Drosophila melanogaster: one gene and its partners. The protein of the gene in region 1 interacts with the protein of each later gene in a pairwise test. Each region holds a gene or a part of one and is shown in the gene's direction. Other genes may lie near its edges.

Region 1 (7,762 bases):
CGGACTTCCTGGCCCGGGCCTTATTGTATTATTTTGCTCTTTCCTTTTTTTTATTTCAAGTTTGCCGCAGCTGCAACGCTGCCTCTGAATGTGATTCATGTGGCGCAATCTGCTTTATCTTTCCGAAATTTATCTATGTACCTCTAACCAGTGGTCATTATATGGCTTACGATTAGATTACCAAGGCTGTTCAGGTCTCCAAGTGGGCGGGGCCTTTCCCAGATCTAGATGCCAGTCATTCATGGTTTTATGTTTTGCCAGTGAGTAATGCCAAGCATAAACAAAAGAAGTACCGAAGTTCGGATTCCCCTTGCTTTATGACTGACTGTTTGAATAGGTGACTCGAATACGTTCAGAGTTTTAAGTTAACTGAGGAAATAAATAATCATATCAGACCAAAATAGAGTATGTTTTTTGGAGGTTCTTATATTTTATTTTTAAGTTTAAAGTTGACTTTGTGCTGTTACTTTGATGTTGATGTTGATCATTCGTATGACAGTTGCAAAGTGACACAATCTTGGCGTTTATGATCCTTATCATATATTCAGCAAATAGAATTTTTTTAGACGGTTAGCTAGACAATTTTACTACCGGATTAGCTTTTCGTACTTGTCTGTCCAAGCGGCTTTTGCAATCTTCCGGTGAAGAGTTGATGTTATTTTCCATCACTGACTTGAAAACAATACTTAATTTTGGGTTACTTTTTTTGTATTTTTAGGAGTACTGCGACCACGTCACTACTTTGTGGAACGATGTGGGTATTCGCGCCTGCTATGATCGCTCAAATGAGTTTCCCCTGCTGGATAGTGCGAAATAGTAAGTATCTAATTGGATTGATTCAAAATCAGATTTCTTTCCCATTTATTCAAAAAAAAACCTTACTAAAGTTTGAATTTTTTTTTACCCCAGCTTCCTGGACAACTTTGTGCGGATCAGCGATGCTGAATACATACCCAGCACCGAGGACATTCTGCACAGCCGTAAGATCACCACCGGCATCTCGCAAATCACCTTCCGCGTACCCATTCCCAAGAGCATGGGTGGTGGCGAACAGCAGTTCCAAATGTACGATGTGGGTGGCCAAAGGGATCAGCGGAATAAGTGGATTCAGGTATTCGAAGGCATACAGGCCGTATTGTTCCTGATCTCGTGCAGCGAGTTCGATCAGAATCTGCGCGAGGATCCCAGCCAGAATCGTTTGCAGGAGGCTCTGAAGTTGTTCAGAGCCGTGTGGCAGAATCGTTTCCTCGCCTCCGCCGGATTGATCGTGTTCCTCAACAAGTACGACATCATGGAGCGAAAGATTCGGGCCGGCAAGCACATTGTGGACTACTTTCCCGAATACGAGGACTTCTGCAAGAGGCCGCAGCAGGACAATTGCTTTGGCGAGAGTGACTGGACGAAGATGTTCATCAAACAGAAGCTGGTGGATATCACACAGGAGCCGTTCAAGCGACACTCACGGAATCAGGTGGATCTGGGTACCTCGGAAAGGGAGTGCTACTACCACTTCACCGTCGCCACGGATACGCGATGCATCCGTGATGTCTTCTGCGATGTCCAGAAGATGATCCTCTCGGAGAACGTGTCCAGCATGGGCCTATTCTAGTCCAGATCCCGTTGCGGATCGGAGAGCTTCTCAATAAAGTTAAGGGAGGGCTGTCCTCAGGCCCCCACCAACTGTGATCTAGTAGGATATGACTTACATAAGTAGCCATGTAAGACCGTAGATCGTAGTGGCAACCGTATGTTGCACAATGGCTGGTACAACGCTTTAATATATTTAACTGCATTGGGTGTAGAGGAAGAATCCTCATACCGAATGCTCTCACTACTCCTTCAACCAATGTCTAAACTCTAATAGAATATAGCATCTACAATAAACCAAAACACACCCAGACAATTTGAGAATGAGTTTTAAATATTTTTGCACCCAAAGTTTGGGTATTTGGGTCCCATGCAACACAAAGTGTAGCATACTTCAAAGGGCACACACGCTTTGAGCGATCTGATGTTGCCATAGGAAAGGAAAAGAAACCATAGTTGTTTTACTTTTGATCAAAATAGTTTCCCATTCGGAATACACCATTCTACTCTTTATACAAGAATATATAAGCTTCGTATTAAAACATTTTAAAATATAAAAAACATATTGAAAGGCAAAAAGTCATAGTGATCTTTTACAAAATATGCGCTTCTTATTCAAATTAAAAAAAAAGCTTATTCCACTTAAATGCCGTTTATCGATCAGAGCGTTATATTTTGTACGGTCGGTCTTAAATTTAAATGATGGAATCCACATAGTTCTTTACCATCGCTTAACTAATAGCCAAGTTACACACCAATGAGCTGTGGTCCTTACCTAATACCCATTACTCGTAAAGTGATATGGTATTTAAGTTTTGTGTCTACGTATGCAACACGAACAAAGAATCGTTACTTTCAACCAAATCAAAAAGTTAAATAAAGATCGATCATCGTTTTAACTTTTACCAGCTTACGTTCTCCCCAAACATTTTAACGATTCATGTCGGTATAACCATAAAACAAAAATATTCCTGTATAACTCGCGATACTGTTTAATAATTTGGGCATACAAATGCATCTTGCTACGCTTAACCAAAGACACTAGTGGCTTAACTGTTCCTTGCAACATAAGTAAGTTTGACTAGTACCCAATAGGAGTGGAACCAGTGTGCATAGAGCTCCACCCGCACGCAGCTAGATGTGACCGCACGCGAGCCGCAGAAAAATACCGCGATGGCAAAAGTACCAGCGCCATGATTGGTACTAAAATATCTCCTATATATAAGTATAGCGATAAAGCAGCCGAACCGCCAGCTAAACGTTCAGTTCGCTTTGCGCCGGCAAATTCGATAGTTTTTTGAGTTTGCTGAACCGAGTCGCTGGGGCAGAAGTGTGTGACAGCCAGCCGTGTGTGTTGTGATCCAGCCAATTGATACTGCGATAAGAGGCGGCGAGCAAATGTAATTACCTCATAGACATCAGCGTTCGAAAATAGTAACCGTGTTTTCTGTGATATCTGTGTGAGTGCGTGTTCTCGTTGATGTTTTGCGGTGGTTTGGTTTCCTCCTTATTTTGCGCCCCTTTTTTCTCATCCGATGCTGCGAGAGAGAACGAAAGAGAGGAGAGGCAAAAACATATTTCCCAGACATTTGCTGATTTAACCGAGAACTTTATCGATTCAGCAGGAACCAGAATACGAATGGAAAAAATTCGGCAAAGATCGCGTGTTTTTGCGTGAGAGCAAAGTTAGGGCGAGGAGGGGCAGTTTGTTTTTCGGAAACATAAAAACCGCTAGGAGCATCGAAAAAATTTCACTAGAAATTTTTGAAAGCGCTCGCGCAAAAAACCGGATATGTTACTCAAAAAGAAACAACAGAAAAAGCTTCCAAATCAAACCAAAGCGAAGCTTATGGCAAAACGAAATCACCTGTGTGTGCGAGAGTGAGTGAGAGTGCGTAAAAGTGTGAGCGCGTCGAGTGTGTGTATGATTAGTCGCGTGTCTGGCATGCAATTAGGCATTCAAACTAATTTCCCTCCCACCGGCAAGTTGCCCTGTCTCATTTGTATTTTGCTGGGTTTCGCTGTTTGCTTATGCATTCCTTCAAGTTCTTTTAATTCGCACGAGACTTTCGTGGGCAGAGAAAAAGAGGAAGAGAGAGCGCGCCAGACTGGCGCTCTCTGTAAACTACCACAATTACACTTTCCGTTACAGCCACCCCCTCACTCATGTGCTCCCAGAACACTGTGAGAAAAGTGATGTAATAACGGGGTAGCTTACAGGACTCAGAGTGTCCCTGGATTCAGCTATTAGTATTGTGATTTCAAGATATAAAAGTAGAATGTTAAAAAAAACCAAACTCGGAGACTCCAAATGTATTTAATTTGTAGTTTTAGTGTAGTTTTTCGGCTAGAGATTTTGGGGATCTTAAAATTCTCACATTTAAATTAAATATTTAAAATAAAACTCATGCACATTTAACTAAACTTAATTATTAATGTCAAGATTTTACCTCCGATTGACGAGCAATGTTTCTCTTTGTGTATCAAGTTGTTTGTGTATCCATTTAAGCTTCAGCACGAGGTGTGAAAAGTGTGAAAAGCGGAAGAATGTAGATGAAGATAACCACAAAGCGTGCGCCATTCATGAAAGCGTTGCACATCCCTTGCAGAGTGAGCAAGAGCGGGAAGGTGTTTGAAGGGGTGTGAGAGGGAAGAAAGATTGAGTAAGAGAGAGCCATGGACCAACGGTGTTTTTTTTGTTGCCTGGCAAAATCAATGAAATGGATGAATGAGAGGAGGAGTGGTGTGGGACGAAGGGGAAAGGAAGGTCGCCGAGAAATTTATGCGACAAAACGCGGGCTTTTTATGTGCCTGATTGTGTGTGTGTGTGTGTGAGAGAGCGCGTGTGAGTTTTGATAAGGGGGAGTGGTGCGGAATTTTTACTGAATTAAGCTTTAAACATCGTCGTGTAAAATCCCCATTACTTAGGAAACAGATAAGATACTGCAATCAGTAAAAAAAACTAAAAACATTCGACTCGAAGATAAATTGTAGTTTTAATAATTAAAGAATGTTCCCATAAGTTAAAAAATTATATTCAAAGTGTTTTCCTTTTTGTGTGCCTATTTTAAAAGTACGTAATGTATAAAAAAACAAAGTCATACAGAGCAAAATGAGAAAATTTAAACCGTCCTAGTTCATTGGGTACTTTCAGTATATTATTTTATTTATTCAAATAAAACAGCTGTATAGCTCGATGTATATTTAAATTAGTTTTTAATCAGCAGAAGCTAAAACCTATTGTTAATATTAAATTAATATTAATTTAATAAAATCGTTCTGGTGTACGAATAGCTATTTCTAATACGAATAGCTATATTCCTTAACAAAGTTGTACAAGATCTTTGACAAGATAGTTCTGAGTACATTAACTAATCTATCTCTACTTTCTTGTCAATCCACAGCTGCATATAACCCAAGTAACATAGCCACCAACTCAAACACATAAAGCCCACCAAAATGATCAACATGGACATTAGCGTTACGCCCAATTACTCGTACATCTTCGACTTCGAGAACGATTTCATACACCAGCGGACGCGCAAATGGATGCTAGAGAACTGGACATGGGTGTTCTACTACTGCGGCATCTACATGCTGGTCATCTTCGGTGGTCAGCACTTTATGCAAAATCGGCCTAGGTGAGTCTGCCACACTGAACTGAACTATGTGAACTAAAGCAGTTTTGCGATTAAAAAACATGTGTTCTTTGGTGGCTTAGATAGACAATTCAGTGAAATAACGGTTGGGTTAAGAACTTGCGCCCTTTGGCCTTGGAAAATTATTAGCTGGCGGCCGGGGAGCGGCGTTAATTACACCCACAAGTGCACACGCCCCTTGCAGTCGGTAGAAACAACTTTGCTGTTTATCGAAACCAATCCCTGGAAACCCCTATATTGACTCAGTCGCGCTTTGTTTCGGTTTATTCTCCGGAAAGACTGGAGTCCAAGTGTACATTTGTTATTAGCCCAGACAGCTGTTGAGTTCCACGTGTAATTATATTAAATTACGGCTAATCAAACACTAATGTTGTAGGTGAATCCTCAACTCGGGCTCAAATAGCCAACAATTCGCATTCGCACCTGAGCACGCACTATTCAGGTGTATTTTCCGATGGCTAAAGACCTATTTGATTGGGTATTTTAACAATTTTTCCAACAGTCAGCGCTGTTTGTCCCCTCCTTGTTACCTGATTTACCTGTGGTGGATCCAATTGGCGGCTATTCGTGCTGGCAATTGTCTCGTTTCGATTCGCTTCGTTTTTGCCTATGATACTGTGTTTGCCTTCCTGCTTCTAATTGTCGTCATCGGGCTTTGTGGCCAAATTAAGTTGGGCTCGTGACATGCCATTTAGACAGTATTTTTGCAAGATCATAATTCAGTTTTGTCACCTGGTTTGGAGCTGTTTATAGCCTTGCTAAGGCCACTGTGAAATTCGGTAGAAAGTTGCTACCGTCTAACAGAAAAGTTTATTATTGTCCAACTGGGGAAAACGGGCTATATAAGTTCCTTCTGAGTATCTTTCGAAACATACGTCTTTGTATTCTAAAAAATGTTAGCTAGATAAGTCTATTTGATGTGGCTTTCCTAACCCTGAATTCCACATCATGATTCAATTGCTTGCATAATGTAATGTGGAGTAGCGATTCCTGCCCACACTCCGACCCAAAGCCATTGGGTTTTTGGATGAGTTATATAGGGGCTTGGCCCTGGGTTGCTTGGCGATTCTCTACGCGGACACTCGTCGGGGGATCTGTCGGTTAATTTTTCACTTTATTGTTGTTGGCTTTGCCTTACACTTGGCTTTTTCGGAATGTCATTTCAATATTTGCCCACATGGAGGAGAGTCGGCTAAGCAAATGGACGTATGTACTTGGTACAGAAAGGTGTGAATTTAGTGAAAATGCAGGCGTTTCTTTCGAACTGTTGGGGTTAAAAAACTGACAAGGTAAGGATGAATTGGGCAAATTAAAACGGATTGATTTCCGCTTGCTCAGCATGGCTACTTAACTTCTTGAATACTCAAACACATGCATGAATATTCAATATTTGACGTTTTCCAAACCATGCCATGTTTAAGAATCTCTAATTAGCAACCACGGTTCTGAACAGCGTGTCAAAATTAATCGCAAACTTTGAAAGAATGCAAATGCACCTGACCGCATGCCACCGACTGTACATTTACATATTTAGAGAGTGGACTTCCCGCTTGCATTCCACCTCATCTTTCATGAATTTAATTTTTGAATTTCTGTTTTGTTTCACTCGTTTCGGACAGTGCGCCATTAAAGTCATTAAACTGATTAGGTTTATAGGTACACGCCATGTCGTACTCGTTTCATTTCAAATGCCCAACGGACAAAGTTTTCCACGGCGACCATGTGGCACGTATGTATGTACATATGTGCTTGTGTGTCATGCAAGAAGTGGGTGTGTCCACGCAGACGGGGTTGTGGGTAGTAGTCCTGGACGGAACTCCAACAGGACACTTTGACATGTAGCCGCTCTATAGGTCCACTTCAATTGGACACTGGTACACTGGACCACCTGATTGCGTTTACAATATTTACCAGCACTTTAAAGTGATTTTTGCTTTTTTTTATAGTTAAAAAGTAAACAAGAGGTCGAAGCCTTTGGAGAATTTTAATATTTCAGTTTTTAGTATCCATAACGTATTGCGTATTACAGTTGACATCTCCTTAAATGGTTAAAGATTAAATATGCCTAATAAAATTAGCTTATAAGCACTCTACAAAGAATCTATAAAATATAAGTTGCAAAGCCTTAATGGTCCATAAAGTAAGATATTCAAATGATGTAATATGCGTGAAAAACAAGTTCCTGTTGGCCAGTGTAGCTTTGGCGTGCGCAAATGTTTTGTGACCATATAAGGAGGAGGGTTCATAAGGGGGCGATATGAGATGGGGTGGGCAACGTGTGTGGGGACCCCAGTGGTTAAAATAGAAATCTGAAGCAGCGAATAATGTATGTATGTGTTTGCAGAGGAGCACGATGACCGATAATTGTAATCATTTAAATTTTAAAGCGATTGAGTCATTCAGTTGCTTTGGTTTCTCGCTATTATTCATGTTGTTCCGAGCAAATTGCATTATTTATATCACAACAACTGGAAATAGTGTGTCGAGGACAAATGAGTACAGAGTACAGAGGACCT
Region 2 (5,840 bases), about 12 Mb from region 1:
GTCTGCGTGGTTTGTTGGACAGAGGGGGGAATCTATATACCTCGATGAGGAGTGACCGAACCAACCGGTTCTGCATTAAAATGATCTTGCTGATCTTCTGGTGCAGCAGCAGCAGCAACTTCTTCTTCATTTTGCCTCAATTTGGCAATATGGACGAAGCAACCACAATATAGCCGGCATGACATTGAATTGTAAATTTCAGACGATAAAAACAAAAAAAAAACGCTTAACGCATAAAGTATACGTATGGCGAAGAAAACGATAAAGCAGAGAGGTAAATAAAATGTAAGCCGACATCCGATGCATGTGCATTTTTTTATATGCGATGCGACTTTGCATTAGAGATGCGATCGTGATACAGTTCAATGCAATTCTATTAAAATTTAAATAAATATATATATTTTTTTTAATATTTAAACGTTTTTTGGTAAGACCCAATAACATTTGTTATACCCACCTGTGAGCACTTAAATTTTCCTTTCGTTTTAGTCACCTGCCCTCTTTCGATAGTCGCAACACGTGCCGAGTGCGATGCAAAAGGTCAGACATATGCAAACAAAGTACACTTTTTGCGCCATGTTTGCTATCTCTGTTCCCCCTTTATCCACTATGTACACCCCCTTTAAGCCGCCCAAGACCATCCCCTTCACACCCCCTTACCATTTGGTCAACTGGTGATGTTGTTGTTGCTACTGCTGCTTCTTCGTTGTAAAAGACATTGACATTTTTTTTTTGCTGACCGTTTGCTCAGTTGCTTTTCTCTGTACTTTGTTGTCGTTGTTTAATGGTTTTTATACATATTTTTTTTTTTTAGCCAGCTATTGTTGTTGGTAGCATCGCATTACGTCACTTTCACTGTAGTTTGCGGCTTAAGGCAGCCTTTCGGCTTTACGTTGTTGTTGTTGTTGTTGTTGTGTTGTTGTTGGCACTGTTTGCACTTGTTTTTGGTACAAACAAGCAAATTGCAATAAAAATGCTCGAAATTTATGGTCCACTGGCATACATACATTTTGTTTGGTATGATTTATCCGAGACTTTTGTTCGCCTTGCTTTCCGGCGGCACAATTTATGCCCGTTTACATGGTAAACTTTTGCTGTTTTTCCCAGTAGTTACCCGTTCATGCTTTTTGGTTCAAGTTCATCAGTTGGCCACCGAATTCGCAACTGGGATCAGGTTTTATGGTTATCGTCTTGATAGATGCGACGTTAAGTTCGCCAAGTTAGACTCGTATATCAGCAACTAGTTGGTAAACACTCATCACAAAGTTGATTTGAAAATATTTAACGCTGTAAGTTTGTTCATTGCGCATACGCCGTGTTAACATGTGGGTGTACCTACCACATTACGCATTCGCACCGTTTGCTCATAGAGCTGGGGCTTTGATAGATAAGAATCGGGCTGAAACAATGTCATTAGTCCAGTTAACGTGGCCTGACTAAACAAGCTAATTTCCCAGTTACCAAATGTCGGCAATTTTCGGTCAGTTATTTTGAATGAATCCAATCATCCGAGCATTAAACAATGTGGCCTCTGCAAAGTTTAGCTTTATTTTCATGTTTAGGAGCTCTTCAAGTGCACAGTGTGAGTTATTTAAATAAACCATAATTTTAATACATAAAGTACTACTTCTTAAGCAGATCAGACTGCGGCTTGAGCACTTTTATGTCAAATCTTTTGTACCAGATGATATGTTCGCGGAGTATGACATTGTCGACTATGAGAAAATCAATGTGAATCTCACAGTTCAAGTGCCCTTTCCTGGCAAGCTTCTCATCCACATTTTCGTAAGGAAGCTGTCAGATCAAGTTGGTGGTTCGAACTACTTCGATCTGATTCGCATGACGAACAAGGATCTCTGCAAGCTCCTCGATTCACTTCGCAATATTACAGTGGAGGAAATTCCGGGCGAAAGCCTTTTGCCCTCGACTTTTGTTGTCTCATGTCCTTTGGTTCCAGGCTTCTATTTTGTTGAGAATGGCGTTATTGATTCCAAACTGGTTCCTTTCCGCATTCCCGATGGCAGATACATGGTACTTTTTGAGCTGATACAAGTCTACGAGGAAGTTATGAAGCTGATTTCATGCAGAATCAAGTTTTCCATTAAGACACCACCTGGATACACGGAACCATCGCTGTTTAAAAATAGCGAGGAAAATAAAGCGACTGAGAAGCCAGTAGAGAAAACCGAAGAAGCAAGTACAGAGGTTACTCAGTCGAAAGAGGATAGTTCGGAAGTATCAAACGATTACGAATAATGTAATTTTTGTAACTTAAATTTTTTCAAATATATTATACATGGAGCCTCTCCCTTTTTTGCTAAATTTTTTCACCCAAAAAAACAATTTTTACACATTTTCTGCAAAATAGTACCATCTATCACCGAGTTTCGGGTGCGTAATAAAATTTATTATCTCCCACTAAAAATTCGCCGGGATTGAGACATATCGCACATGTTACAGCCACGCCCATAAATGTTAATTAAAAAACCCAGGGGCATGGGAAATATATCAAACATGAATTTAAACCGCGCGAGACAAGCCGACGACAAAGACTAACTCAAAGATATCCATTCAATCCAATCTTTTAATTTGTTGTCATGGTAAACTTTGTTTGTGATATCCATTCGACACGTATTTGTTTTTGTGGAGTACAAACTGTGGAATGTTTTTTTGAGCTGCGTTGACATTGTGGCGGCATTCTCGAAAGTTCGTTATTTACATATTTAGAGCAGGGCGAATGTTTCCGGTTTTCAGCTGCAAGATCGTCGTCAGCATCATCAATACTTGCACGATGACTGGGCAAAAAAAACACTTGGCCTCCGTACCAATCATATGTTGGTTTTTATACCATCGCCCAGCCCAAAATGGTTCCGTCGTTTAGCTTAACTTTTATTGATTTAGTATTCCACTCTACAGGCCTGACAGCTGTTCAAAGTGTCAAATATTTATGGATCCTCTGCTCAAGTGATAATTTATATTTTAATTGGCTTGACCACTGATCATTCGATCATTGGATCTTGAACTTCAGATTAACTTACCATTTGAATTGGGTGATCGAGGGGCTCTAGATACACTGAATTAGCAATTAAACTGCCTGGCATTACAATTTCCGCCTTCTTCCGGGTTTTGTTTAAATATTACTCCGCTGACCGCATTTGAGGTGACCTTCATTTGTCGATGTCTTCATTTACCCAGTCTGATTATTATTTAATCAACGATCAACTTCTTCAGTGGCTTAGCGAAGCAAACAAAAGATGCCACCACCAAGTAAACAGGGCAGCCTGGTTTTGCTGCTCGGTCCCGCTGCCGAAAAAATTGGCCCGAAAAAAAAAAAAAACAAAGCACCTGCCTCAACATGCCACGCCCCTTGAATCGTCTGCTTTTGGCCAGGTTTTTCTGTTTATACTTCTTTTTCGCTTACCGTCTTATTTATGCGAGACTCTTTTGTTTATGTATCGTTCATTTGTCCTCTTCTTCATTGCAAACTGCAGTTTACACATGACATTATCATCGATGGTCACCCAAAAGTTTGGCTATAAAAAGGCCTGATGCCAGATGGAGCCATGTGCAGTCGATATTTGGATTAATCAGCGTAATCATCTCCCCAGCAGCAGCAATCATGAAGTACCTAGCTCTGGTGAGTATTTGGATATAACATTTGGATTAATAATTGGATTAAATGATTTCCAATTAAGTGCAACATATGAAGTTGTTTGTTGAAGTATATTAAATTTTCAATTTGTACTAAAAATCTATTGTAATTCACATTTTTCAGACCATTTTCGTGTGCCTTATGGCCATCGCCCTCATTTCTGCCGTGCCCGTGGATGAGTCCCTGATCGGCGATAATATCTACCAGCCTGCCTTCGACGATGTCCAGCGTCCCCAGGATCCGCAGGCCATCTTCAAGCTGAAGAAGCTGCTCAAGTTGAAGAAGCTCCTGGGTTAGGAGAAATTCGCAATAAGCTTCGTTCAGATTCTAGTCCAGCCAATTGGGAACCTTGCCTCCCCCACTACATTCGATTTTCAAACCGTTTTGTTTAGACAATACCCAATAAGCACAAACACACAAACACACACAAAAGCACATACATACGAGTAAAGTATACGTAATCGTAACTAAAATAAATGTTATTTTCATACACGTCGGCTTTTCTTATATCATCGAAGCGTCGGGGATGAGATCTCCATGTGTGTCCAAAAAGGAGCTAATGACTGGCAGCGGGTCGGGTTTTTGTTTGCCTAGATCTGAATAAGAAACCCGTTTCGGATCGTTTCTGGGTAGAGAGTGTGAAAAGCGAACGGAATCTTCCTTACATGCGTATAAATATTGGCCAATCTCAGTCGTAAATGAATCAAGTGGGTTCAATGATGTGCTAATACAAGGAGCCCACTGTGAGATTAATGATCATACCTACTTTCATTAATTGGCATGATTAGTTAACTTGATATGCCAGTAATATTATAGCTTAACTAAATATAATATATTAAATATTTTCAAGTATCAAAATTATGTAAAAAGTAACGATAACTCATCACATATTGACATATTGAGAGCTGGTCACGAAAAATCGGACATGATTGCCATCAAGTTGAAGCACATGGTTCCAGCCTTTCAACTTACCATAAATTTTAACATTCAGGTGTATTAGTAGTATTAGGAATGATTTTAATGTGATCGTAAAAAAAGAAAATTATTTGGAATTGAAGGTTGGACCTCTTCAAACAAAAGACTTAAGAAGCGAACTTGTTTTTTTTTTGGGCACCATTTTGTTTTAACCTTGCAATAAAAAATGAATAAGTAAAGGTTTCGTTACCAAATACTTTCTTTAATTTCACTCTTGTTTTTCTTCTTAAAAACCTAAACACATGTTAAGTTAAACTATAAATCCATAAATGTGAGGGTGTGGTGTCTAGCCCAGGAACAGCAGCTTCTTGAGCAGCTTCAGCTTGAGCAGGAAGGATTGGTCGTCGGATGGGTTGACGGACTCACTGCCAGGACCTTCGAAGCCATCGGGAATGGCCTCCTCGCGAGGAGCAGCACTGGTGGCCATGAAGCACACGGCAAGGCAAAGGAAGACGCTCTGTAAAGGAAGGGTCAGTAAAGTTCCTTGGTATTCCGTGTCGATTTTTAGTGACGCACCAGGAGCAAGAACTTCATGTTGTATGTGGCTAGATGTATGTAGTAATCGATCGATGGATTCGCACTGCGCGTTGACAGACCTGCTTGCACTGATCACCAGACCCCGCCGACCCGTCTATTTATATGCCTGTTCAGTTGAGAGTGAGTTGCTCGGCCGGCAGACCGCTCGTCTTTCATAGAAACTAAAACAACGCGAAGCATCAGCCAAAGATTCAGTGATTCACATGTCGGCGGGCGGGGTGGTATATCAATCTGTTTGGACTATTAAAAGTGATTTTAGTCCAACACGCAATGTGATAACAAAAGCCAGGTTCCCTTTTTCGTAGCCAAGTAGATTACCTTATTGTGGTGCCATTGTTGAACTTGCGACGCCTTATGTTTGGGCAATTTGTTGACTTGCGGTTTCTCCGGCTTCACTTCTTTTTGCTAATCGGTGTTTCCTTGGTTCTGGGTTCTATTTGACTTGGCCATTAGCTGCGAGCGGAATCTCTGCTAAATATTAATTAGCAACTTGACATTGGCCTTAACGTTCAGATCAGCCATTAGCTTTTCGTTCACACCTCCATAATAGGCTAGAGTAGCTGAATTATCCGAATATAGTTATATTTTTAAGTGTGTATGCTGGCAGACGGCGAATAACCCATTGCGCAAAATTGATAAGATTTTGAGATTTAAATTTAAGCAGGCGGTTTGAAAA
Region 3 (9,069 bases), on another chromosome or scaffold:
GTCTCTCCGTCGTTGGTGACCGCTGCCTCCCAAGCTGCATCGGAAAGTCCAATGAAGGCCCAACACACGTTGGCTGCTACACGCGGCTCTGACTTTAGGCTCTTCACGAAGCACTCCAAAAGCGTTTGAAGATATGTCTCGTTGATAGCCGCCTCGGGAATTATCTGTCAGGAAAAAGCAGTAGAAGGTTAGTATGACAATATGAATCACCTTAAAAATCACCACTACGCACATCGCAAATACGTCCGAAGGTCCAGGCGATGGTATCGCGCACGATAACGCTGGAGTCGTACATCAGTCGAATGAGCGTGGGCATGGCTTGCTCCACGAGCGGCTTTAAGGTATTGGTCTCCAATCCATTCAGCACGGAGCCGAAAGTCATTACCGCTGCGTCGCGGAATCGCCAATTAGGTGACTCGATGTTCTCCTTGATGAAGGGAAGCACATGTGGCACGATCTCGTCCTCGCAACATGTGGCCAGCACCATGAGGCAAACGGAGGCGGCCTTCGCCGGGCTCCAGGTGTCCTCGTCATCGCACTCGTCCTGCTTGGTTAATTTCTCGACGAGCACAGGCGTCAGGAACTGCAGAGCACCTCGAGCATAGTGCTTGGACACTCTCTGCGGAGCGCGGCCCTGATCAGTGGCCTCCTGGCTTTCGATGGCCAGATCTATCTCCTCATCGCAGACGTTCGACCAGAACTCTATGCCCTGCAGCGCTACAGCATCGTTATCAGACTTCATGGCCGCCAAAGTAATAGGGAAAAGAGCCTGTGCCATGTAGGGCTCCATGTACTGGTAATAAAGGGTCATAATCTTCACCAGGCACTGCAGAGCGGCAACGCAGATTTGCGAGTCCTGGCACTGAGTGGCCTCGCACACCACCTCCATGATGAAGTTGCGCTCCATGTCTTTCTCAAAGTTCGATTTGGTGAACTCCAACGAGTTGTGAAGGGCCGTGGTGGCCGCCAAGCGTACATGATTGCTCGGCTCTACCTTTCTCATGCCGTGAATAATAGCAGTCAGCACATCGTTCGACTGGTTCTCCATGACGCCGAAACGAATGTCCTGGCAAATGTAGCCAATGGCCTCCAGCGCCGACTCGCGATGCATCTCGCTGGATCCTTCGCTGACCACCTTGTTCACCAGTGTCTGGATGAGCATGGGCCAGCGGTTTATCGGCAGCTCAATCACGGCCACATAGGCCACGCACTGGGCGGCGCAGGAGGGTCGGGTGTTCTCGGTACCCAAAGCAGCCAGGATCTGAAAGTAAGTCGCAGTTATTCAGTGCCAATTGTACAAGTCATATGTTTCAACATCAGCGTATGTAACTTACGTTATTCTTGATCAACTCGCGGATCTCGCTGGGAAACTGATGCCAGCGATCCTGGTACTGTTGGCTGACCTTCTCGTCCTTGCTGGTCAGGTGGTTCTTCAGCTGGAGACCGGCTGCCATTCGCGCCACCGCACTGTTGGCCGTGTTCACCAGTATCTCTGACAGCGCCTTGAGAAACTCGGGCAGGTTGCTGGCCGCCGCCTGCTCCAGAAAGTTCTTCGCCGATAGCAGCTCATTTTTGTCTGAAAATGCGTCATTTGGTTGGTTAGACATTTTTAATTTCCAATTATGTCAACGAAAGATTTTATTTGTGGGCCTACACACGCCCACCATTTTGGGTCGGCTTAAAGCTTTGGTATCAGGCCATTGAATTTTACAACAATTGACTTTTGGGAATGTGAAGGCAAGATAGGAACTTTTAGGCAAGGCGTATATAGTGAGAATATTGTTTAATAAGAATACAATAGATGGTGAAAGAAGTGTGTGCATATGAAGAGCTAAGCAGTAAGGTCTAGTAATGAATTGTAGCGGTGGAGCATAAAATCTTCAGGCAAGGGGCAAGTTTGCAGGCATTCCTTATCAGCAACCGGAAGAACTGGCCGCCAAGCATACGGTGGTGACTCCGAAGCGACGCCTCATCGATTCCTAGAGTTAGTGAGGTTATGTCGCAGGCGGTTCGTACATCCTTAATTGTAGGAGCGCAAGCATTGCGAATACATACAGACGCGCCGCCAAGTTTCCCTTGGAGTATGTACGTGGATGCACATGTGTGCGGAGGCCCCTAGCAACCAAACATATGCGAGCGCCTATTGCAACCCTGCGCAACATATAACGCGCGTCCCTCCCGCCAATCGAAGAAAAATCCATATTTTTCGGATCTATACACACACGTTTGTAGCAGTGGGGAAACTCACCTGGCGACACCGTCTTTTCCAAAATGGCAATCAATTGCATGGCGATATCGGAAGTCATGTCTTCGCTCTTTTCCTCTCTATATGATTTCTACTTCACTTTCCGTTTCTTTCTGCAGCTCGTGCGTCTGTGTGGGTGATGGAATTTTTGCGTAATTACTAGACAACACTAGTCTGTCGGCTGCAAATGGTGGAGACAAAAGAGTTAAAGTTATTGGGCTGCTCCGCTGAAGCTGGCGATTTTATTTCGACAGGTTGCAACACCTTGATTGTCAAAAGAATTGATTTTTTCGCACACACGCACACAACAAGCGCGTTCAGTAGAACTCTTCATTCTACTCACATTGTTGTTTGGTTATTTTTCGGGAACGGTAAAAAAGCGCGGGATTCCTAACGGCGATTTTCTTAGTTATTATTATAAGCCTATTTAATGGTGGCAGAACCTTTATCTGCTCTTCGGGAAGTGCAGGCAATATATTTCTTGTGTCTCCGATTTGAAATAGAGCTGAAACGAATGTCGATTTTTATTTGATAGCACTGAGTTTCGATGAAAAAGGCGACACCTATTCGATTGCTTTATTCGAACTATCGATAATTTTTAAATCTAATAACGTATTAATTAAATATTCTTAAATGCGTAGGAAATGTGCAACCATTTGACAAAATATATTATTAGTCAGGAACGATAAGACCAAAATACTTACTACTTGTATTAAAACGCGTTTGCCTCCCCAAAAATCAATCGTTAAATTTGAATGATTGTGCTTATCGAAAATTTTCATATTCAAAGATAAGCACGGAAGCAAAACCTCGAACGAACTAAATAATCGAATACTTTGACTTAAGAGTCGTAGGTAAAAAACTAACAAATGAACAAAATTTGATTACTATATTAAGAAACAGTGGATAAAAATAGTAATATCTTAGAAGTATCACACGTATACGTGTGTATATTGGTTGCATTCGCTTACTGAACAGGGGAATTAATTAATTTAAATATAAAAGTTTATTAAGTCTACCAAATTTCGTTTTGCACGTAATAATAATAAGAGCTAAAGGTTTTCGCGGTAATATTTAGCTTTGCAAATGCTGGTAGTTTTTTTGTCAGCCAGTTGGCAGCCCTCTCAGCTGTACTAGGTGGCAACGCTGCTACAGTGCTGACGTTCGGCAAAAAAGAGGAAACGTAGTAAAAACACTCGAAAAACTCCGTATATTCCGATAAATATCCAGATAGTACGGTTTGTGCGTGGCCCGCCGATCCGGAAAGTGTGGCAGAGAATCGCGGACACGGCCACGTTGTGATTACAACCCGTACAAGTAAAGGAAGAAGGTCTGCTACTCCTGCCGTTCGTTGGTTACCCCAATTCGAGATGATCCTGCTATCCGGACTTCTGCCGCTCCTGGGCGTCGTTCTCTTGCACCTTGCGACCCCGACACAGGCCTTCTATCTGCCCGGACTGGCACCGGTCAATTTCTGCAAGAAAACCGACGTCTCATCCACATGCAAGGTAGGTGTATACGTATGTGCAGAAGTGCAGATGTACATATGTACGTAGATAGTGGGTGTGTTTGCCCCACGCCCGCCACAATTAGCAAAGGCACTGGAACTAGTTATGTACATTGGTTCTATATTCCTCTAATGGTGGTCACAGGCGGAAGCACTGATAAGCGCAGTAACTAGTTATATGTGGGGTCCATATGTGGCCCTCTATCTCAACTTCTGCTGACGTTGCCTACGCCAGCTCTCTTTCCTAGCGACAGCTAGATGGGAGTTCTAATGTTGGTTCAGCTGGCTCGCGAATGCGATTTCGGGGGCTCCCGACCTTAAGAATCTTAACATAGTGGCGGCTAACCAATAATTGAACCAGGGAACGCGGTTAGCTTGTCATGCTTCCTTGCATTATGTTTGGGTTATTTTCTTTTTAGTAATAATAGTATAACACAATAACAATATAAATTCAGGACAAAGTATAATTTTTAGTTTGATATCCCAAATAGATGGGGTTAGCCCTTTTAAAAGATGACCTAACTATTGGATGATAAAGCGTGAGCTATTGGTTTTGTTTGCTTCATCTTATCTTTAAACAAATCTAAACAACTTTTTAATATACCCGTAGGTCAAGAAATCCTAATCGGTTTATACGCCCTTAAATTAGACGTTGCCCAATGATAAGAATTAATTAAGGTGTTTCACATTCAATTGTTTCTAACAATCTAAGAGAGCTTTTTGATAAGATAAATTTCTAAGAACCCAAAGTAAAAGCAAATTACGGGGTCAAATTATCGAACGCATTTGCAAACTTTTGGAATTTTTACCAAACTTTAATAATTATTTCCACGATAAGATTAAAATACACTAGTATTATCAACAGTTGTCAATCCAATTGATTGATCTAATTCCTGATTATCTTCTTCAGTCGGAAATCTTGTTGTACGTCAACCGCTTAAACACTGAGGAATCCGTAATACCCTATGAGTACCATCACTTCGACTTTTGTTTGGGCGAGGAGCAGAACTCACCGGTGGAGAATCTGGGACAGGTTGTGTTCGGAGAGCGAATTCGTCCAGGACCCTATAAAATTCAGTTCTTGGAAAACCAGCAATGTGCGACCGTAAGATTAAACAGTTTTAACGCATTACCAACATAATGATTTAATGACTCTTCGTATTTAGACCTGTGTCAAGACTTACAAAGGAGACGATCCGGCTAGCAACCGTCGTATGATGGTTCTTAAGAAAGGAATCAGCTTGAACTACCAACATCATTGGATTGTGGACAACATGCCGGTTACATGGTGCTACCCACTGGAGAACGGCAAGCAATACTGCGGAATTGGTTTTCCCATGGGTTGTCTAGTTCGCAGTGATGGCGAGGGTTGTCCCATCAACTCTATATATAACCAGCCAATGCATTATTATCCATTCAACCATGTGGATCTCGAGATTACTTATCACAGTGGACAGTCGGAGGACTGGGGAATTCAGTTCGGCAACAGTGGACGCATAATCTCTGTAAAAGTGACTCCCAAATCTATTAAGCACACCGATAAGGAAAACCCCAATTGCTTGAGCACAGAGCCACTGGCAATCAGTGAGAACTCTTTAAAGGCTGGAGAACAGCTGGAAATTGTCTACACGTACAGCGTGAAGTTTGTAAAGAACGATTCTATCAAATGGTCATCACGTTGGGACTACATTTTGGAATCCATGCCGCACACGAATATCCAGTGGTTCTCCATTCTCAACTCCCTGGTTATTGTCCTTTTCCTGAGTGGCATGGTGGCAATGATAATGCTGCGTACGTTGCACAAAGATATAGCCCGCTATAATCAGATGGATAGCGGTGAGGATGCCCAGGAGGAGTTTGGCTGGAAACTGGTACATGGTGATGTGTTCAGGCCGCCGCGGAAGGGCATGCTGTTGTCGGTATTCCTGGGTTCGGGTGTACAGGTGCTTGTGATGGCCATGATCACCTTAGCATTTGCCTGCCTGGGATTCTTGTCCCCAGCCAATCGGGGAGCCCTGATGACCTGTTCCATGGTCTTGTTTGTTTCGTTGGGTACACCGGCTGGTTACGTGTCTGCGCGTATCTACAAGAGTTTCGGTGGGCTGAAATGGAAGAGTAATGTCATCCTTACCTCGATCGTTTGCCCTGGGTAAGTTCTTTGAAATTAAAGCGATATTATTATTTAATCGTTTTTCTTTTTTAGTGTGGTCTTCTCATTGTTCTTCGTCATGAACCTGGTGCTGTGGGGGGAAAATAGCTCCGGAGCTGTGCCATTTAGCACGCTAATTGCTCTGCTTGCCTTGTGGTTTGGCGTCTCTGTGCCACTAACCTTTGTAGGAGCTTACTTTGGATTCCGCAAGCGCGTGAGTATATATTTAGCTAGTTTTTAAAATGGTTCCTTACATTTGTCTGTACGATTTCAGGCATTGGAGCACCCTGTGCGTACCAACCAGATTCCCCGTCAGATTCCGGACCAATCGATCTACACACAGCCTATTCCTGGAATCGTTATGGGCGGCGTTCTACCCTTTGGCTGCATCTTCATTCAGCTGTTCTTTATCCTGAGCTCGCTGTGGTCCAGCCAGATTTACTACATGTTCGGTTTTCTGTTCCTGGTCTTTGTCATATTGGTCATCACATGCTCGGAGACCACCATTCTGCTGTGCTACTTTCACTTGTGTGCGGAGGACTATCACTGGTGGTGGCGCTCCTTCCTGACGTCCGGCTTCACAGCAGTCTATCTGTTCATATACTGCTGCCACTACTTCGTCACAAAGCTTTCGATCAAGGACAGTGCCTCGACGTTCCTGTATTTCGGCTACACGGCCATTATGGTATTCCTGTTCTTCTTGCTGACCGGCACCATCGGGTTCTTCGCGTGCTTTTGGTTCATACGTAAGATCTACAGTGTTGTCAAGGTGGATTAAACCGCATAATTCAAGAAGGAGCTCGTGCGAATGTATTTTTGTATGTGTAGCCACAAATTTACACTTAAGCCTAATGTGTGTGTGATTTCTGCGCTGTGCGCCCGGCACAGACAGTTTTCTGTTTACTATAATTACGATTGATATGTGTATAATAACATATGTTTGTATCAGGCAAGGAACAGTGGAGTAACGAAGCGCGCAATAATTTTTAAGCAGTAAACAGCGAACGAGTTGGAGTTAAAACGACTTGAAGCATCTTTTGTATAGCTCTTCGTTCTGTTAATCTTTAGGCGTAAAATTTAGCATTGTCCATTTCCCAGCTCTAGCAACGATTCCAAGAAAAGAAGAAATTATCAAGAAAAAAAAAACTAAAATCCCTTTAAATGTACTGAGCTGCATAACGAAGTACTTTAAACCCCGTTCTCTACTTGTAATATCAAAGCCTAACAACTGTAATTAGTGGCTCGTCTTAGCCGTAATTCGAGCAGGATTGAATTCACGTGTAATATTTTAAATACTTTAGTTTAAACTATTTAAATCTAACTTGCGACTAAAGAATAAACAAAAATATAAATTACGAATCGAGCCCACTGCGACAAACTTTTTACTATCAACAGAACCAGCTCATTCTTTCAACCCTAGACAACTGACAGTTGTCAGTGGTTGCTTCTATGGCTTCCGTGAGCTGAGCCAATCGGGCAGTGTGAGTAAACATTTCCAGCTCAGAGCTTGTCTAGAGGCGCATCCATGTCAGATATTGAGGACAACGATGGGGACGAATACGATGAACTTTCGGAGCTGCGACAACGCCACAAGCCCGAATCCCAGCCCTCGGTGGATGTGCATATCTGTGAGACACGGTCCTTGATCTTCTCTAGATTTGCTGTTTTCTTTCCAGGAGGCCTTCGATCTGGACGACCTTCTGCCCACCATTGGCGAATTCGGCAAATACCAGAAGCTCTTGGTTTTCGGAATTTGCCTGCCCGCCTGCATACCGTGCGGTTTTTGTGCGTTTAACCAGTTGTTTATGGCTGATACTCCGGATGACTATTGGTGTCGCATCCCGGAGCTACTCGACTTGCCCCTGGAGCAGCGAAAATCGCTGTCCATACCCAAGGAACTGGTGAGTAATTGCAGCCATACGAGTGCCGAGGCTAAGGCAATCAAGTCAGCCCATTGATTGTGCGTTGCTTAAGGTGAAGGGTCGATACGAGGGTGGTTCGATGAGTAATCGAAGGGGCTAACAATGAAATGGGGGAGAGGTAAACCTTATATTCTATGCCTTCTATTATTTAAATATATTTTGAAATAACTGATGAAATAATTATTTCAAGGATAACGACGAACTGGTCTACAGCAAATGTTATACCTACGGAGTCAACTGGACGCAGCTCCTTGAATCGGGGGAAGAGGATGACCTGACGACCATGGAGCCGAATGCCAGTTGGCCACTGATCAAGTGCCCCCAGGGATGGGAGTACAACACAAGCGTCGTCTGGTCCTCCATTGTGATTGATGTGCGCAATCCAGACCACCAAGCCTTCATTTGAAACTACAACGTCATTCATGTAGGAGTTGCTCGAATCATTTCCCAAGCATCAGTACTACCTTTACCTAGGAGCGAAGGATTGGCTTACTATAAACCATTAAATCCTCCTATTTCAGTTCGATCTAGTGTGCGATCAGGATATTTATCCTACGATTGGATTGGCTGCTCTTAATACTGGCGGTCCAGTGGGAGTCTATCTTTTCGGATTACTCAATGATCGTGGTGGACGAAGGCTCTCCTATTTCGTCTGTTTGGCCACTTTGCTGGCTGGCAGCCTAATGACTTCGCTGAGCAAGGATTTTTGGACTTGGGCCGGCAGTCGAGTCATCGTAGGACTGACCATTCCAGCTGTCTACCAGATACCATTTATAATATGTGGGTATTTCATTGTTGCTTCTAACTTTAACCATTAACTTTTCTGCGTCTGCAGCTCTGGAACTGGTGGGTGAAAACTATCGATCCTTCGTGACTGTGATGACGTGCACCTTTTACACTTCGGGCATCATGCTCCTGTCCGGCGTCACTTATCTGGAGCGGGATTGGGTGCGCCTCTCCTACATCACATCCCTGCCGTTTTACGCCTATTTCCTGTACATGTTCGTCATGCCGGAATCACCGAGATGGCTTTTGATGCGCGGTCGCCTGGAGGAGGCTCTCAAGATTCTGGAGCGCATGGCAAAGGTCAATGGCAGAGAGTTTCCCGAGGCTGTGCATCTCAAGCTGGAGGCTCAGATACGACGGGATAAGCTCAAGAAGCAAAAGAAAAAGATGGCCAATGTGGGGCTAGCAGATCTCTGTCGCACCCCCAATATGCGCTTAAAGACCATCCTAATCACGCTGA
Region 4 (7,374 bases), on another chromosome or scaffold:
GTCAGTCAGGACTCTACGAAACAACAACGAAAGCTCTATCAACACGGCGAAGCCACAAAGGACTACGCTGCTGCGGCTTCAACGACTCCGGCAGTCGGCATCCTTACGGATATGCAAAAGTTTGCACGCTCTATATTTCCGCTGGTTATCATCTTCAATCTGCTGCCTTTATTCTATGCAGGTGAGTACTTTTTATTTACTAGATTCGTTGCAAAGTATTTAACAAGTACATGATGTACCTCATGTTTAATTGTTAAAAATATGGGTTTACTATTAACAGCTGAAGAAGTTTTTCGTCTTCATGAATTTTATGAATTTATTTGAATCCGGACTTATAGTATCTAAATGTAGCCACATCAAACTTTAATGGTTTAGCATGGCACTTTTCCCTTTAAACTTCTGTGAAAGTTGCTGCTGCCCTCCATAGTCCTGCTAAAAAATGTGTAACTCTCAACCAACTCATGTAAAACAATTTTCCTACGTCCTAATTGGCAAGTCTCGAGTGTCCACTAGCTGGCTTTTAGCCTGCCAGTTTTAAAGACCCCACTGAGTGCTCACTGTAGTCGTCGGCTGGGCTGGTAAATAAATAATTGAAACTGTCGAAGAACATTTGCAAATCTGGCCAAACAACAACTGAGCTCATTATTTATGTACGCAGCCAAATATGTATCGACTGCCAAAGGCAATGGAAAAAAATTTAATGACCGGCAAAAGTGAGCGTCCCCCGGCAGGAAGGAAGCAATCCGCTCCGGCACCCCAGTCCCTGCCCCTTTCGGATCTGAGTTATCTCTTTTTCATTTTCGGTTTTTCAAACTCTTTGTGTGACAGTTTTTATATATATATATTTATTTTTTTCTACATTTGAGGGGCTGGTCATTTTTCAGAGCACGCACAAAGGCAAATTTATAACAAAGTTGGGGTCAAACGGGGCTGAGGCCGAGAAGACAATGCGCTAGGCGGTCTTAATTGCTTCCCGGCCGCAAAAACAATAACAGCATATTTCTGGAAGAACCCTTTTCGAGGTCTTTGTTGCTGCCTTGGCAAACTTATTAATTAAACGCGCTCATAATTATTTAAGACCGGCTGCCGCCGGAGCAAATTCAATCTGTGATCATTGCCCCCGATAGGCAGAGCTGCAGTAATCAGAGTTAGAGGAGCAGAATCCCCCCCCTGCTCAGCTGCCTAATGTGGCAGAAGCGAAGGCAAACAAAAGCGGTGCCATTTCAAAAGAAATCAATGACAATTCGTTAAAGTTCCTCCCCGGGGTAACCGCTCTCCAATTTTCCAACCCATCCCACAGAACACTTCCCAGGACATCATCGACATTTGAGCAGCGATTAAAGACAATTGAAGCCGCAGATGCAGAGGCAGCATAAGTCTGCTGCTTTCTTATCAGTTGGCAGAGCTCTCTGGCTTTTCCACTCTCTCCATCGTTATCTCTCTCTTGTGGAAAAGCTCGCGCCTGCGCTGCCAGGCCAACGGTGTTATCATTTGCCAAGAGATTGGCGCTTATCAGTTGGCCAGTGAATGTTTGCTGGGTTATCCCGCCATTGTTTGGCCCAAATAAATCGCTGACTTGGCATGCCGGACGGAGCAGGGAAAGTCAAAGACGCCAGTGCCCCAGGCACAGGTCAAAGTATCTGCGATTCGATGCCTCGGACGAAGAGCAAGAAAAAAAAACAAAAGAACACACTGCCATTTATCTTGGGCGACGTTTTTGCCCTAATGAGATTTGCGCCAAATTAAATGAAATCGAAAATTAGGTGCGCCAAGCTCGTTGGCAATTTAAATTGAAGGCGGCAATTATCCGCACAAACGGCCAAGTCGGACCAAAACGGGAGGAGCATAATGAGCAGAAGCCGAAGTTAAACAAGATTCTCACCTGTCAGCTTTGGCACCACCTGATGGCCTGGCACCTGGAAACCTTCGGGTTTCACCTGAAATCTGCCACCTGCCAGCTGTCTCGAGTGGCGGCTTTGGTTTTGGCTTTGGATGGGCGATTAAAGCGCTCGTCGGCCACTCGAACAAACAGAATCGACGGCTCATTGAGCCGCAGCCAAATGAAATCCGGTGGCAAACAACTTGAAGGATCCACTCGAGAAGGAGGCGGAGGAGGAGGAGGCTGCGCCAAGGAGTCCTGGGGTCCTGAAGTAGAAAAAAGAAGTGCACAAAAACGAAATCATAGATTCAATTTGATTTATTTCGCTGCCGTACTATATTGGCGTTGGACTAACAGCCGTCTCTCGATTCAAATGGCAGAGCTTTCACTTGATGTCATCGCGGCGTGCTCTCTCGCTTTTCCTCCGAATTTTCCTCGCATTTTCCGACTTCACTCTCTGCCTTAAATGCCGTGGCAGCAGCCGAGCGTAGTCAGTCGATTTCAGTCGGCCGTGCGGCACACACACTCGCAACGCGCTTTTCAGCCAGCTCAATTCAGCTCCGGATTCCGCTTGCCACCAGCTTTTGAACGCGTCATTAATCGCATCGTGTGACAGGAGCCTCGAATCAGTTTTCCCAGCAACGCGCGCACTTTTCCCGCTTTTGACCACCGATTAAGGTCTCTTGTTCTTTCCGCCTTATCGCTTCGTCCTGTGCGTTTGCATTTTAATGTTTGCTTAAGCATTCCGTTTCGGTGTCAAAATCCAAAATCCAAAATCCGGCCAAACCAATCCCGGCGATAAGAAAAACCCTGGCCTGGCAAACGGAGAGCTCAACGCGGAATTGTTCGACACAAAAGTGAATTACAAATCAATTGAGAAAGCCCTCGGCAGCGAGACGTAAATATTCAAATGGAAACCGAATTACATATTCTTTTGAAATTGCCTTGGCTATGGTGCACAATTGAGATATTCGGCATTTATAAGATTGTGGAGTGGGCTATTTATGGTGATCAATCGGGGCAAAAGGCTGGGAGGTATTTTGCAGAATCACTTGGTAGGATTAAAGACATTTAAACATCATACTCGCTTAAAATTAAACAATGATGTTTGAAAGTCAGCAAAACCACTGCAATATTTAAGTTATGCCTCTTTTGTGCGCGTATACAATTTTAAATGCAAATGTTTTTTGGCAAACAATTCCAAATAAGAATACCTTAATCATTTATCACGAATGAAATTATTAAATGGAATTCACTTGTATAACAACTAAAATGAAAGTCACTCCGTGCTGTGTATTGAATTATTTATTGCCACACTTACAATGCTGCATTTCCATTTAATATCAACCTATGACACCTATTCCTTTGACCAAACGAGAATGGCCATGTAAATTGATTCTTGGAATCGGTCCACATGCCCATACGATTCACCAAAAAAAAAAAAAAAAATGCTCATTTCAGCAAAATTGGGTTTTATTTGCATTGAGCGAATGTTCCTTCGGATGAGTTCACGTTCAAGCTAACTCGCCATTTTCAAAAGCAAACATACAAATGCGTTATTAGTTCACATGCACAATGGCCATACATTCCTAATCGGTAACCCTGGCTGCTTTTTCTTGGAACGTCCTTAAACAGGAGAGGGCAATCTGGGCAACGAAAGGTTACAAAACGAACTGGAGGCAGACAATTGTTGGGGGATTTACAACATGGCCCTCGTATTGTTTGCAATGCAGCAATAAGTCTGGATAAATGCGGAAAAGACAGAAGAAAAAGGGACGATGGTGATGGCGATGGAAATGTGTCCACGGCAGTTATGACAACTTCTGCTGGGTCTCACCTGTTTCACCTGTTCGCCAGCTGCTTAATTGGAGTCACAGCCAAAGTCCGGGCGAACTTTCCGATTTCCGTTCCTGCAACGCGTGCCACTGACAAGTGACAGCTTCGATTTGAGGCAGGAGTAAACGCATTGCTCATCTTCCAATTCATTTTTTAGATCTGAATATACTCTTGTTTGATCCGAAAAAAAAGGGAAATGATCTGCGAAATAAAATTGTAGTTTTACTAGCAGAAGACGTGTTTTTCCGTTTACACTTTCAGCAAAAGATTAATTGAATTGAATGCAATATTTTTCAAGAGATTTATACTTTGATTTTCAACGAAACGATTTTGTTTAAAAATCGTTATTTTCGTTCACGCTTATTATAAACATGCTAATAACGGCAACCAATTATTCTAACCAATACTCAATATATTTGTAAACATTTTGTAAATTACTTTCCTTTTTAAATTCCGCTCACGTTTCACTATAAGCGATGGTTTATAGTCAGCCTGCCTACCTGAAATTGCAGCTTATTTAATAATTACTCACGAAAATCATTTTCGTAATTGACTATTTCTCACTCCGATGTCTATCCATACAGTCGATCATCAGATGAAAGTGCTTTCCCAGTTTCTTTGCCATATGCAAAGTAGTAAACGTACAAAAAAAAAGTGGGATTCAGTTGCAATTTGCATGCAGTTCGGCAATCGCTGCGAAATTGAAACGTGCCAAATGTGCAAACAGAGGGCCGCAATCGTTTTCCACCTTGTTTGGATAGCCAACCAGGTGATAAGCAAACATAACCCAAAGGGACTCCCGTGAAAAGTCGACTTGCGGGGTTGGCTGGGTTTTAAACTCAACCCTTTTTTCTTTTTCTTCGGCTAAGGTGGGCGGCACTGCCACTAAATCAGGCTACTTCCACCAGGTAATAGAGAGATACAATTTGCTACGTGTGGAAAATGCGAAGAAAGAAGAGACGAGTAACTTTGCAAATAATGTTACCCAGCCACTCGAATGTTTAGGAACCTTTACGCATAAATTATTTATTCATTTGCCGTCGCCGGGTTTTTATATGCATCGTTAAAATTTCTGTTTGGAATCTCAAAGTGAATTTTCGGGTCCGGAGCGAGCACCTTTGACCCGCCCCCCCCCAAAAAAAAAAAAACGGAAATAGGGTTTTTTACGTTGGCTATTTTATAATGAGCTGCACTGGATTCGCTTTCACAGTGCTAACCCGTTGCTCATATGGTTTTCCTTTGCGCCTTTGGTTCCTTGTTCAATTTTCACTTTTGCAAGCGATTTTCCCGACGGCTGCTCACGAGAAAAGCTACGTGCAAAACGGCTTTGAGTGGAGGGTGTGGTCTCCACTTTCGCAGCGAAAGTGTTTATTTATTTCAGTTTGTGTGCTAGAAATAAGTTTTATTTCCGTTTTTTTTACCATTCCGAACCAAAATTATAATAATAACCTGCGGCTGCGGGCCAACGTTGCGTATGAGCGATGTTTTTTCAAACCATATTCCCATTGAAAACGCCGACTCGAAACTAATTAGCGCCCTGTACGCCGAGTTCTTGTTGTTTTGAAGGCTTTCCGCAGCAGCATTGGCTTTTGCCAGTAGAAAGTAGCCAGCGTGTCCACGTCATGTGATATGAGCTGGGAAAATATTGTTAAAAATATGCTGCAACTTTTTCATTACATCAACTTGACGGCTGCGAAGTGAAAACTTTTTAGCAACCAGCAGGAGCAGGCGGAAAAGCGTGGAAAAAGGGGAAAGGCAAGCGGCTTTGCCAGCTGTGGATGCTGTTTCTTTAATTTGTATTTAGTTAGCGGACGATGCTAATGAGTTTGCTGATTAAAGAAGGGATCGTCTTTTGATGTGCCACCTCTGGAATGAAATTTGCACAAGGCTTACCAGCTTTAAGACCTTGTTAACTGGCGAAAAAACAAAAGACATAAATTATTTGGCATGCGATCAAAACCACACTCGCAACCTTTTAGCTGGCATCTCCTGCGTGAAAAAGCTAATACAAACTGGCTGAGCCAATCAATTACGAGTAGTTCCCAAAGTTCAAGTCATTCTCACTTAGCTACAGCCAGTCTATCAATCTTCTAATCAATCTGAACGGAGCAAATAGCCAGCTAAAGTTTCGTCCTTAGCATTATGAATTTATGGACCGTTGGGCAGTCGAGTGAAAACTATGCCGATTTCAATAAAAATCATTAACCGAGCGAGCACTCAAAGGCCGATTTCGATTGAGTTTCTGTGCGGGTGGGCAGAACTTTCCGACACATTAAATATGAATGAAATGCCACGGTAATTAAGCCTAAACACAGAAAGATAAACAAACCGCGAATGGTCGTAAAATGCGATGAGGTGGCGCCAATCGAAATGAACTTCTTTGACCAAACACATTTCCAATCGAATTATAAATAAACAGAGGCTGCCACAATGAAATAAGCGCCGACAGGAAGCCAATTCAAATAGCCCCAGTCAGCCACTGTTTTTCGCCAAATACCTTATTTCCAAATTCCAAATGGAATTGGCATATAGCGAAGGCCTTGGGCCTTATGGCTGATTAGCCAATTTGAATTTTCAATATTTCCCGGAATCTAAACTTCTGTTTGGTAAACGCGTAATATGCCAGCGTTGTTCTGCTTACAAATTCCCATTGTTTCCGCATCCGAAGAAAATGAATTCACTTAGCCAGAAAGATGTGGCTTAAGGCGAGAATTTCATTAATCTTTGTCGCGCGTTCCTTGGCATATTAAAATATCTCTTTTGTGATACGTGAATGCATAAAATGGCAGACAAACGAGAGTGAAGCATCTTTGTGTAAGCTTTAAAAATCTCCCCCATAAAAGCCAACGTGAAACATGCAACAAGCTGGGTCAGGAAGCGGGCCAAAAGAAGGCCACCACCACCCATCAGCTACTGTGTCGAGGCTATACCCACACACTTCCACTGACACACACACACACACACACACTAACAGGCACACATACACACGCCTGCATACGAGTATAAGCCCCATTCATGTGGGTTACAATGAGGGCCAGACGCTTGTCCAAGGAACTAAGACAAAGGATACACAGAAATCAAGTTTAACTGCAGTTGAAGGCGGAAACGTGAGCCTCACACGTACACTGAAAGAAACCGCAAGAAAACATTGCAAATATCATTATTACCTAACTTGTTTGCATACTTGCGAATAATTTTATCGAAATGCTAAAGAGCTTTGTTGGTAGTAAGGAAATTGTTCTAAAGGGTATATTTATATGGACTTTATTGAGCTCAAAATCATACATTTATTTCGCAATGATTTACACTATTTAAATCATTTTTCTTTTCTTTGAATATTATTTGCTTAAATAAAACATGACACCATCAAAACCAATTTGAACATGGATGGATATTAAAATTTAAACAAATGCCTTTTCACACAAAGCCACAAAAAGTAATTCATACGAAACCATTAATGCAGAAATCGTATCTATCACATTTAATTGCATTTCCAACTCGTTACCACTTATTAAAATAATTTAATTTAATATGAATAGATGATAGAGTATTCCCAGTTTAACATTTTGATCTGTCTGAAAATGGGCGGAGTTACACCTGACTAAGTATTGGTACCAGCTTTTAAATCAGATACGTTCGCTGGTAGTTGCCAAGTGCCG

What was found.
Region 2: the proteins of Baldspot (region 1) and CG15212 interact in a two-hybrid assay, tested with the Drosophila melanogaster proteins (one large-scale study listed by BioGRID).
Region 3: the proteins of Baldspot (region 1) and TM9SF2 interact in a two-hybrid assay, tested with the Drosophila melanogaster proteins (one large-scale study listed by BioGRID).
Region 4: the proteins of Baldspot (region 1) and CG43732 interact in a two-hybrid assay, tested with the Drosophila melanogaster proteins (one large-scale study listed by BioGRID).

The regions. Positions count from the first base shown.
Region 1 is NT_037436.4:16,656,696-16,664,457, reverse strand, and holds the start of Baldspot (baldspot), read left to right. Parts: upstream 1-2,842; 5' UTR 2,843-2,987; exon of another isoform or gene 2,988-3,047; intron 3,048-4,991; 5' UTR 4,992-5,046; coding exon 5,047-5,228; intron 5,229-7,762. Other genes in the region: Galphaf (G protein alpha subunit f), read left to right, coding at 719-816, 910-1,609. UniProt on the Drosophila melanogaster protein: Catalyzes the first and rate-limiting reaction of the four reactions that constitute the long-chain fatty acids elongation cycle. This process allows the addition of 2 carbons to the chain of long- and very long-chain fatty acids (VLCFAs) per cycle.
Region 2 is NT_037436.4:5,127,985-5,133,824, forward strand, and holds CG15212 (uncharacterized protein), read left to right. Parts: upstream 1-3,560; 5' UTR 3,561-3,619; coding exon 3,620-3,637; intron 3,638-3,775; coding exon 3,776-3,949; 3' UTR 3,950-4,143; downstream 4,144-5,840. Other genes in the region: CG4597 (uncharacterized protein), read left to right, coding at 1,523-1,582, 1,639-2,256; CG15213 (uncharacterized protein), read right to left, coding at 4,914-5,084, 5,144-5,161.
Region 3 is NT_033779.5:20,728,610-20,737,678, reverse strand, and holds TM9SF2 (transmembrane 9 superfamily protein member 2), read left to right. Parts: upstream 1-3,369; 5' UTR 3,370-3,615; coding exon 3,616-3,753; intron 3,754-4,662; coding exon 4,663-4,857; intron 4,858-4,918; coding exon 4,919-5,901; intron 5,902-5,955; coding exon 5,956-6,115; intron 6,116-6,175; coding exon 6,176-6,679; 3' UTR 6,680-7,263; downstream 7,264-9,069. Other genes in the region: Fs(2)Ket (female sterile (2) ketel), read right to left, coding at 1-164, 233-1,261, 1,335-1,576, 2,249-2,306; CarT (carcinine transporter), read left to right, coding at 7,427-7,519, 7,578-7,802, 8,014-8,196, 8,345-8,603, 8,659-9,069.
Region 4 is NT_033777.3:18,947,827-18,955,200, forward strand, and holds the start of CG43732 (uncharacterized protein), read left to right. Parts: upstream 1-2,369; 5' UTR 2,370-2,777; intron 2,778-7,374. Other genes in the region: CG42613 (uncharacterized protein), read left to right, coding at 1-181.